2 linked regions of the Sus scrofa genome follow. The protein of the gene in region 2 purifies or fractionates together with the protein of the main gene of each other region. This does not show direct contact. Links are inferred from orthologs where the notes say so. Each region holds a gene or a part of one and is shown on either strand. Other genes may lie near its edges.

Region 1 (5,329 bases), on a different chromosome or scaffold from region 2:
CACAACCACGTTTAAGGTCTGGATCACAACAAATGTTTGCCCATATTGGGGGAGGATGCATTCCTTCAATTCCTAACTTTCTGTAAAGAGGTTGTACTGACTATTTTATGATTTAAACTTGTTTTACAAAACACAGAATGTTGTGTCTCTTACCATTTGGTCCAAGTGATGTTTTCATTGTATTCGCTACGGCCTTTGCTGCCATTATGTGAGACTAAACGAAACAGAAACAACCAATATTCAAGTTATGTATAATTTTAAGAGTTAAGAGCATATAACTGATGGTTATAAAATCACTTACGACATAGTCTGCATTCTCTAGAAGAGGCAGCAGACAGGTCCTTACCTAACTGTGACAACTCCACAACTGGTGGTGTTAGGAGAGAATTCCCACATACACAGACAGAACCAAATGCTCTCCGCATTCTCTCTTTAATCCTCAGCCCATCTATGAGGCAGGTAGGTTCTCAGGGCCCATTTTACAGCCAAGAGCATAGACGGTCTGATGTGACAGGCCTTGCAGGTCCACCGTGAGACGCTAACCTCATCCACTCTCCTCTCTCAAATGGTCCAGCCAGCACATAATCCACAACCAAGAGTCACCCGCCGAGGGGGTCAATGCTGGAAATAACGGGAGCCCGAATGCATCCTTTCCTCCTTCTGCACAATTACACTCATTTTCCCTCTGAATGTCTGCTTTCCTGTCTCCCTATTCTTCTTCTTTTTTTTTGTCTTTTGTCATCTTAGGGCCGCACCTGCAGCATATGAAGTTCCCAGCCTACGGGTCCAATGGGAGCTGTAGCCGCAGGCCTACACCACAGCCACAGCAACGTGGGATCCGAGCTGCATCTGTGATCTACACCACAGCTCATGGCAATGCCGGATCCTCAACCCAATGAGTGAGGCCAGGGATTGAACCCGCGTCCTCATGGATGCTAGATGGGTTCATTAACCACTGAGCCATAATAGGACGTCCCCTCTCTATTCTTGCTGTCACCAACATCATTAGCCCAGATCCACAGCACCTTACAAATGCCCAGGGTCTCTTATGCCATCCTTCAGTCACCCTCCGGCCAGCTGAGCCATCCATTCTTCTCAAACATGTTGCTTATCAATCCCCAGACCTAAAATAGCTCCCCAGTACCTCAAGCCTCTTTGTTCAAAGCCGTCCAGTCGGAGCCTGGCTTCCTTTCACTGAGGACAGTCTGTTCCCCCAATATGGCCTGATCCCCGAAGCACTGATGCACAGAAGGCCCTCCACCCCAAGATCCTGACAACTTCCTAAGCAGTTCAAGAGCACGTGTTCTGTGAAGGCTTCCCGTGCCACCCCATTTAGCAGGTAACAAAAGACACAAAGTTCACTAGGTTTGCAGAGATACTGGCAGCCATTAAAATACACTCTGATGTCTGTACAACGGAATTTCTAAAGGATACTAACATGGGGACGTGGTTCTTAATCAGGGGTGATTCGCCCCTGAGGAGACCTCCAGGCAATGTCTGGGGACATCTTTGGTTGTCACAATTAGGAAGGGGACCATAGGGGGTAGAGGCCAGGGATGCTGCTAAACATCAGAACAGGACAGATGCCACAACAAAGAATGATCCAGCCCCAAATATCAATAGTGCCAAGGCTGAGACGTAGGCCTCAGACCACTGACCGCAGAATCAGACAGAGCTGGGCGTGAACCATGGAACCTGATCTTTACCAGCGCTGGGACCGCAAGCAATCATCTACCTGCTCTGGGGCCAAGTTTCCAATTATATAAAATAATACCTGTCTCAGAGTGTGAGAATTACATGAGATGTGGCTGACACAAAATCACCTGTAGCTTCTGTTTTTGGGGTGCATGCATTGAGTGGCACTTTCTCTAATGGTCCTTTCAGTGAAAAATGGAATTAAATATGTAACACAAGTGGCTCGCCTACCTACCATGGGTCAAAGATTGGATAAGTTACCCCATTTAATTTCCCTCCCAAGCCGGAAAGAGGTGTGCTGCCCCTGCTGGGAAAGGAGGTTCAGAGAGGTGGTGTTAACTTGTTTTAGGTCAAACAGTTCAGGGGAGAAAGAACTGCACTGCTTCTTAAATAAAACCCCAAGACACTAAGCAAACAGGGACACCTCAGGCCTGGCGACATGGTCTATCTCAAAGCCTACTTCCTCTGGCATAGTTCTACTTGTGATTCTGCTCAAAACCCCTCCATTGACCGTCTGAAGGATCCCCTCCAGCTTTTTCCTGCACTGCCTCCCATATCCCGTGGTTCTGGTCACACACTGCCTTATGTCATAGTTATTGGCGACCACTTTTCACTCTTTTTTTTTTTTTTTTGGTCTTTTTGCCATTTCTTGGGCCGCTCCCACGGCATATGGAGGTTCCCAGGCTAGGGGTCGAATCGGAGCTGTAGCCACCGGCCTACGCCAGAGCCACAGCAACGTAGGATCTGAGCTGTGTCTGCAACCTACACCACAGCTCACGGCAACGCCGGATCGTTAACCCACTGAGCCACGACGGGAACTCCCACTTTCACTCTTGTAGTAGTATTTTCTTCCTTAAAGGTGTACGTTTTCAGTTTTTATAATACCACATCCAGGATTACGCCGTGCATAGAAGGACTCAAAAATGAAATGCGCTGTCAATGACTAAGCCTTTAAGGAAGCAACGAAGAGTATGAACCTCTTTTCCTTTGGGGCTGTCGCAGGTATACCGACTGAAGGTAAAGAAGCAGGGTCCTAATCTGCCAGGGGACCCGAGAAATACCTCCTCTGCAGCTTACTGATACATGCGCCGTCGGAACGACAGCACGCTGGAGAAGCCAGCGGGGACGCGCGTTCTCCGCCTGTGAATTGAGGCTGCCCCACCCAGCTCTGGAGAGCGCTTGAGGGACACCCAAACCCTCAAACTGGGACTAAAGGCCTCTATGTTGGTCTTTCCCAGGCCCAAGGCGTTGGGTGCAGCACTGGAGACCAAAGAGGGGCTCCCCGACCTTCCCCGAGAGCACATGGCAGAACGGCTCTTAAATGTGCGCACGCGCGGAGCCAGGGGTTCGGGGTCCTCCGCTCATCCAGGGCGTCCCAGTCCCGTTACCTTGAGGGCCTCGAGTCCCATAAGACGAGACTTGCGGTCTTGATCTTTGATGATGAGAAAAGGGCGGCCATATTCGTCGAAGGCGAGGGTCCCCACGGACGCCATGGTGCGGCAGCAGCAGGAGTTCTCTCCCGCAACCGGCGGTGTCCACTCCGGAACCGAGAGAGTACTTTCCTCTCGCGGGAGGGCGCCAAGAGCTCGCGCGTGCGCAGCACAGGCCGCTCGAGACTTATTTCTCACCTGAGACTAGTTTAACGCCAGACAGTACCTTCTGGAATCAGCGGCCTTCGGCAACTTCTATCATCCGGGAAGCTGTGGGGGGGACAGTTTGAAGACACGAACGCGAACTTTAGAACCCACAAGCCGGTAGTAGATAGGATTTAGACACTTATTAAATCTGTAAAATCTGATGTTTCTCGATAGTGCTCCCAACGATGAGATCATTGACTCAGAGCATTGTTTTCTCCCTCCTTCCCACCCTGGCTTCGCGAAGATGGTAGAGTCCGCTTTTTTTTTTTTTTTTTTTTTTTTTTTTTAAACCTGCTGGAAATCTCGCGATGGAGGGAGGAAGAGGTGAGGTCAGCCCCGCGCGCGGCGCGTAGTTTGGGCCGCGGTCCTGGGTGCGGGCGCGGCGTAGGGCTCGTAGTCGTCTGTTGAGTCTGTGGTGCAGCGGGTCCGTGTCGGCGCAGGGGGGCGGGAAGTCGCGGGCCGCTGCCTCGGCTCGAGGCCTGGCGTTTGGGGCTCAGGGCTTGTGCGCGCCTCGGGCGCGTGCGCTGGTACTGGGATCTGGCCGCCGGGACCGGTTCCTAGCGTTTGGAGGCGAATAAGTCCCTTAGTTCGGCGCGGTCTTATACGATGTGTACTGGACTCACACTGTCGGGGTGGGGGTCACAGCTCTGCCGCTTACCAGCTGTGTCTTTGGGAAGGTGATTTGTCTGCAAAAATGGCAGTGGTAGCAATAGCTTCTCTCTTTACCGCTGCTCTACGGATTCAGGGGAAACAGTGCCTGGCCCTTAACAAGCTCTGTTCAAGTGTTTGTTAAAGAGATAGCTGTTTTGCACAAATACTCCAGTAACTTGCCCAAAGTTAGCTAGGAAGAAGCAAAATTGCCCAGTCTTGATCTGAGTCCCACTCTGAAGCCCTACGTTATGGTGCCTCCGAAAGATCTCTCTTAGCAACTTGTCTAAAAAGTACCAGATCCTCTGTTGCTTTTTCTTTGGAGCACAAATCACGACGTAATGTTTTCTGGGTTTAGATTTATTTGTTGTGGGTTTCGTGCCTCCCTGACCTCCATCTGACATAGAGTGGGACTTGACTCGTATTATTCCTAGCTTTTATTGGATACTCAAATGTGGAAATGGATGCATGGATTATAACATTTAACCTGTGGCCTGAAAGTGAGGAATTGACTTTGTCACCAGGTGGTTGATCATTTAACCCCTCCTGATACCTGGCCCACTTACTCTGTAGCTTACAGTGATGCTCCAAGGCCATTTTGGCTTTTGGAGCCACATCTCAATTCACTTTAGCTTGGCCAGTTCAGTGTTTCCTTATTCAGAATAACAAATCCTGTAATCCATTTGGCTCATTAGATAGTTATGAAGTGTAGGAAATGTGTAATGATGCCCGCTGTGCAGTTTTTCTTTAAAGCATGGGGAAAAAAGGGTTTTCCTGTTAATGTATTCTGTGTATAAGCAAGTACACAATGAACAGCTCGAAGATACTATGACGTTCAATTATAAACCCCCAGTGTAAATTCGTGTGGCAGGTCACAATTCCAAATAGGCCTCTTGTTTCTTCCTGGCCTTTTTCCTTTGGCTCAAACTTGGATAAAGACTCCTAAACCTTTGTGGGCTTATGTTGCTGCCTCTAGCTTTAGCTGGCCCACATCTGTCACTGAAAATTGAGATTTTTCTGTCACTACCAGAAGTCAGTAACCAGGCAAGCCTGTAGACAGCGGAAGTTCACTTCTTTGGGTCTTTTACTTACAAGGATGGACTTGTTCCTGGGCTTAGCAGGAACAGCTGGTGGTCCCATGGCTTTCTTTTAAAGGAATGCTGCCGCCTTCAAAAGGACATGTCGGATGGAGATGGTATGTTTTTTTTTTTTTTTTTTTTTTTCTTTTTAGGGCCACACCTGATGCTTATGGAAGTTCCCAGGCTAGGGTTGAATTGGAGCTGCAGCTGCTCAAGGCAACACCTGATCTGAGCCACACCTGTGACCTGCACTACAGCTCACGGCAACGC
Region 2 (5,032 bases):
TCCTAACCAATAATTTTTAAATTCCTCTAAATTATGAACTCTTGCACCTTCTTGGCAAAGTTTCTCCAAAACTGAGCTTGATAAAGTGAGATTTACTGGCCACCAGCTCCTACACACAAATCCTCTACAGCGGGGTTTCTCATCTTAATGTTGACGAAGATGAGTTGGAAAATCACTTTTATATTTTCACAACCTCTAGCTGAAATGTAGCATTTCCTTCCATTATAAATGGAGGCAGCTACTCACAGCAGCATCCATATCTGATTTGTCACCAATAGAAATCACCGATGTTTTTCCTATCACATTACAGTGAATATACTGAGATGCTGTTTACCCTTATGGGTACTTCAAAATTAATGATTAAAATGGTTGATGTGATTTAATGAGTTAATTTAAAAGTACGCATTACCACTTAAAAAAAATTTTTTTTCAGAACTGCCATGTTTCAATCCCTTATTTACATGGGGGAAACTGAGACAGGACAGTCAGAAGCCAGTTCCCTTAATAAAAAGAGCCCAAACCACTAGCCCAGGACAGACAAGCTCTCCTGCCCACTGCTTCCCTTAGCAGTATATTCACTAAACCTCTTCTAACCTACTTCTAAAAAAAATAAATAGTTTTGCCTTTTGCTATGCTCACGGCACTCGAAAGTTCTAGGGCCAGGGATCAGATTGAACCAGAGCCATAGCAGCAACTCAAGGCGATGCAGTGACGACACCGGATCCTTAACCCGCTGCACCATGAGAAAACTCCAAAAAATGTTTTTAGTAACTATGAGTCATATGGTTGGTTTCCTTTGTAATCCCATGTATTTTATGCATTTGAAAACATAATTATGAACAGAGGTCTATTGGCTTCCGACTGCCAAAGCTGTCCATCAAACACATATACACACACAAGAACTCTGACCTGGGGCAGGGGACACAAAAACCATTTTAAGACACCACGTTGCCCACATTACGCAAGTGAGTTAAGACAGAGGTAACTGCTTATTCTATTACTACTGGGATTATCAATTAGCATTTTACGACTAAAACCACACTGCCTGCGTGCCTGGCACAAAGAAGGAGCTCCATAATTGAAAGGATAAATTTGGGGGCAGAGTTCCTGCAACCAAAGTTTGACACCAATTACTCCACTGATTCTACCAGCAGCCTAACTGTGGCTTGGTTTCTCATCTCTTAGAAATGGGGCTGCTACTGCTTACCTAAATTGACCTTGCAAGAAAAAAAAATCCATCCGTCTGTGTGAAAAGACTCAAGCCCTTTGAAAGATGTATTTTACTACCACCCCCCCTTTGTTTAAACATGTATTCTTAAACAACAGTTCTAGTGCTCTCAACTTTACTAATTCAGTTTACACATCAGGACCCTGAATTTCACTTTAGCAGCTCTGCGGTCCACTATGTGCCATAAGGAAGAAAGAGGCTCCAGAAGAAAAATAAAGCTATGTCTTTTCAGGACTCTCTGGTTTCTGTGGGAAATCGTGGACTCCGAGATCAGTGCATACTTTCAGGGATTTGTTTGTAAAGTGTGTATGTGGGATGTCTGGGCAACAAGAGTCCATTGTTCTCATCAATTTCTCAAAAAGGATTACAAAAAATTTAAGACCTAATTTTTTTGGGGGGAGGGAAGGCATACATACAGCATATGGAAGTTCCCAGGCCAGGGGTCAAATTGGAGCTGCAGCTGCCGGCCTACACCACAGCTCTAGCAACTTGGGATCCAAGCTGTGTCTGTGACCTACACCACAGCTCCTGGCAACGCCAGACCCTTAACCCACTGACCAAGGCCAGGGATCCAACCAGCCTCCTCATGGATCCTAGTCGGGTCGTCACTGCTGAGCCACAACCAGAACTCCTTAAGATCTAATTCTAAGATGTGCTCCTGAAAACCTGCAAACAAAATTACAATGCTCAAATGTTTTCTAAAGGACTTCTTTCCTACAACAAACTGTGGGTCAGAAATAATAAAACTTACCTATGCAGTGTCCCACAGCTAATCAGTGGACTAGACAAGGCCTAATCCTAGAGCACCTGGCCTTTTCCCCTGCACCATGCCTCTGCCCACAATTTATTCTTAAATTAGACTGTTCCTGGTGTCAAGCAGGTGTACAGGTTTTAAACACCACTAAGCATGGCTCTCAGTTGCTCTGATCACTATCAGTCAATCACAACGCTTACTCTAATACAATAAATGGCAAACTACGGAGTAATGGAAAGAAAATTCTTTCCACTAACTTATTCAACTTCCAAAACTAAATTTATGTGTCACTGCCAGCTTCAAGCTTCCTCCTATTAACCGCGCTTCTAAAAAGGATTCTCAAATTGTGGATGTCCAGAAAGACTTACTTCTACTCCAGGTTACTTGTCTGTATCAGCATGAAAGATGCCAAGAAAACAAATGGCAAGCATCACCCTTTTCTATGCAGAAGACAATAGCCATTGGCAAGATTTCCAAAAAGAGATAGCTTTGAAGAGGACGAATATGAGGCAGCAATAGCAATGGCAATCCCGGCAGAAAGGCTGGGGAAATCCAGGGAACAGGGGGCGGTGAAACCTGCTAAACAGTCCTAATAGAAATCTAGTGTGGCCAGGGGAGAAGGACCACGGGGCTCCAGCATCTTCTTCGCAGCCATCACTCCCTCATCCCTCCTCCGCCCCCCAACTGAAGCTGCAGGAGAGGAGGGGATAGGCGTGATAAACGGCACAGCTCTGCGCTGCAAACTTGGGTTTGAGACCTGTTTCCGTCACGCAATAGCTGTCTGACTGGGGCAAGTCACAACACGGTGCCTCAGTTCCCCCATCGGTAAAATGCGGGTAACTACACTCCTGACTACCCAGGAATGCTGCAAGGATTAAATGAGACGAGAGCGAAACCCTCTGCACAGGGCCAGACACAGAGGAACCGCTCCGTGGCGCTAAGGCAGGTCCGCAGGAGGGTCCTGGGGTCTGAGCTCCGGCCGGGAAAGGGCGCTCCAGGTGCCCGCGTCCCTCTAGCTGGGTTCCGAGCCCCTGCCCGGCCCACCTTGTTGTTGTACTCCTCCACGAAGCTGCCCAGCGCCAGGCGAAAGCGCTTGTCGGGCCGCACGCTCCAGTTCATGGCGTAGACGGTCCAGGGCGCTTCATACTTGTAGATCTCCTTCCGTTTGCCGTGCAGGGACATAGTGGCGGCGGCGGGGCCGCAGTGCGGGCCGGGACGGCAGCGAGCTGCGGCGGGCGGGGCGCGAATCGGGCAGGGAGTCAGGCCTGGGACGGAGGGGTCCGAAGGGAGGCGGGGCGGGGGCGGGTACGGACAGCCTAGCCCGGAAGCGGGGCCGCTGCTACAGACAACGACAGCCGAGCCCGACCCCCACTTTCAAACCTGCTTCGGCTCGGACAACAACCACCTTCCGTTTGAGACCCCGCCCCACCCTCTAGAACGGAAGCCACGCGACCCCCTCAGCGGCGCCGGCCGTTGGCTACCTGACACGTCCTTTCGAACGGCTCCTTCTCCTCATTGGCTAGTGTACCCGTAGCTTCTGAAACCTCCTTGCTATTGGTGCGTATGGTTGTCATTCCGATTACTTGCTCTGCCCAACTCCAGGGGGCAGGCGCTTTCACAGCCACAAAGGTCATTGGCTGACAAAGATGTCAGTCAGAGAGATAACGGCGCAGTGCGGGTGAATCGGGGTGTGGGCGGCTTAAAAGCTCGCGTACTGTGCAGCAGGCCTCCAAGTTCTAGGCCAAGTCTCTGAGAGTGAAACCTCTTACGTGACTGCTCTGACTTCCCCACTGCAGCTGCTATTCTGACCGGATTCTCCACGTTGGCGAGTGAAAATGAAAAGTCTGCCTTACGAGAGGGCCTGCTGCGTTTCGCGGCACTGAGCTCCCGGGCCTTGCGGACGGGCCTGCGCCGAAGGGAAACCCCTTTATTTCCCTGCTTCGCCAACGCCTCCTTTAAATTGGAATGTTGTTCTCCCAGCGTACCAAGGGCAGACGGCGGACACGCCGCTCTACTCAGGACCAGGCCAGCTTCAGTCAACCTTTCCTGGCCATTCTAGAAGTGCTTGGAATTAGAGGATTGGTCTTCAGCAGGCAGCAACCCCGCCAGCGTGGCTGTCAGCTTCTGTTTCCATCTTTTCCCACGAGCGTCCCAAGGCAAATGCTAATCTAGCCTTAAATATATAAGTGTCTTGAATTTGAAATGGGGAAGGGTCAGAATCTAGGTAACATCTCTTTATAATTTAAATGGTTTCCAATAATTTGCTTTCAACAAAACTAAGCAAAAAATTGTATTGAATTGTTAGATAATATATCATTAAATATAGTATTTAGTGGAGTTCCTGTTGTGGCTCAATGGAAACAAATCTGACTAGTATCCATGAGGACGCAGGTTCGATCCCTGCCCTCGCTCAGTGGGTTAAGGATCCGACATTGCCATGAGCTGTGGTGTAGGCCAGCGGCTACAGCTCTGATTCGATCCTTATCGTGGGAACCTCAATAGTTAGGGCACATGTGACCTTAAAAAGACTATATATATATAGTTTTTAGTGATAAAAGTGATTGTTAACAGAAAACTCAGAAAGAAGGACGCACGTTTGATCACCAGCCCCACACAGTGGGTTAAGGATCCAGGGTTGCCACAGCTGCAGTGTAGACGGCAACCGCAGCTGGGATCTGATCCCTGGCTAGGGAACTCCATATCCATGTGCTTCCAGGTGGCCAAAAAAAAAAAAAGAAAGAATTCAAAGAATTGAGTGACTGAGTGACACTGTTTAATGTAACAAACTCCTCACAGTCCTATCCACTTCCGTAGGTGAACAAGTTTTCTGTGTTTATGTCTTCCTCTAATAAAAAAATAATATTCATTCACATACATGGACTAATTGAGAGGAAAATACCCTCTCTTAAGAGCTGTATTTCCAGTAAAATTTTAGTTTCTATAAAAATTTAAATAGAGAAGAGTTCCCGTTGTGGCTCAGTGGTTAACGAATCCGACTAGGAACCATGAGGTTGCGGGTTCTATCCCTGGCCTTGCTCAGTGGGTTAAGG

The links. The genes of interacting proteins can lie anywhere in the genome.
Region 1: the proteins of DCAF7 (region 2) and CCT5 purify together in Homo sapiens (affinity purification with mass spectrometry; 4 studies listed by BioGRID and IntAct, counting the BioPlex papers as one, with this or other methods). This does not show direct contact. The link is inferred for Sus scrofa from reciprocal best matches to the Homo sapiens genes DCAF7 and CCT5.

What each region holds. Positions count from the first base shown.
Region 1 is NC_010458.4:72,219,867-72,225,195, forward strand, and holds the start of CCT5 (T-complex protein 1 subunit epsilon), read right to left. Parts: upstream 3,337-5,329; 5' UTR 3,189-3,336; coding exon 3,084-3,188; intron 215-3,083; coding exon 154-214; intron 1-153. UniProt on the Homo sapiens protein: Component of the chaperonin-containing T-complex (TRiC), a molecular chaperone complex that assists the folding of actin, tubulin and other proteins upon ATP hydrolysis.
Region 2 is NC_010454.4:15,347,581-15,352,612, forward strand, and holds the start of DCAF7 (DDB1- and CUL4-associated factor 7), read right to left. Parts: upstream 3,417-5,032; 5' UTR 3,165-3,416; coding exon 3,027-3,164; intron 1-3,026. UniProt on the Homo sapiens protein: Involved in craniofacial development. Acts upstream of the EDN1 pathway and is required for formation of the upper jaw equivalent, the palatoquadrate. The activity required for EDN1 pathway function differs between the first and second arches.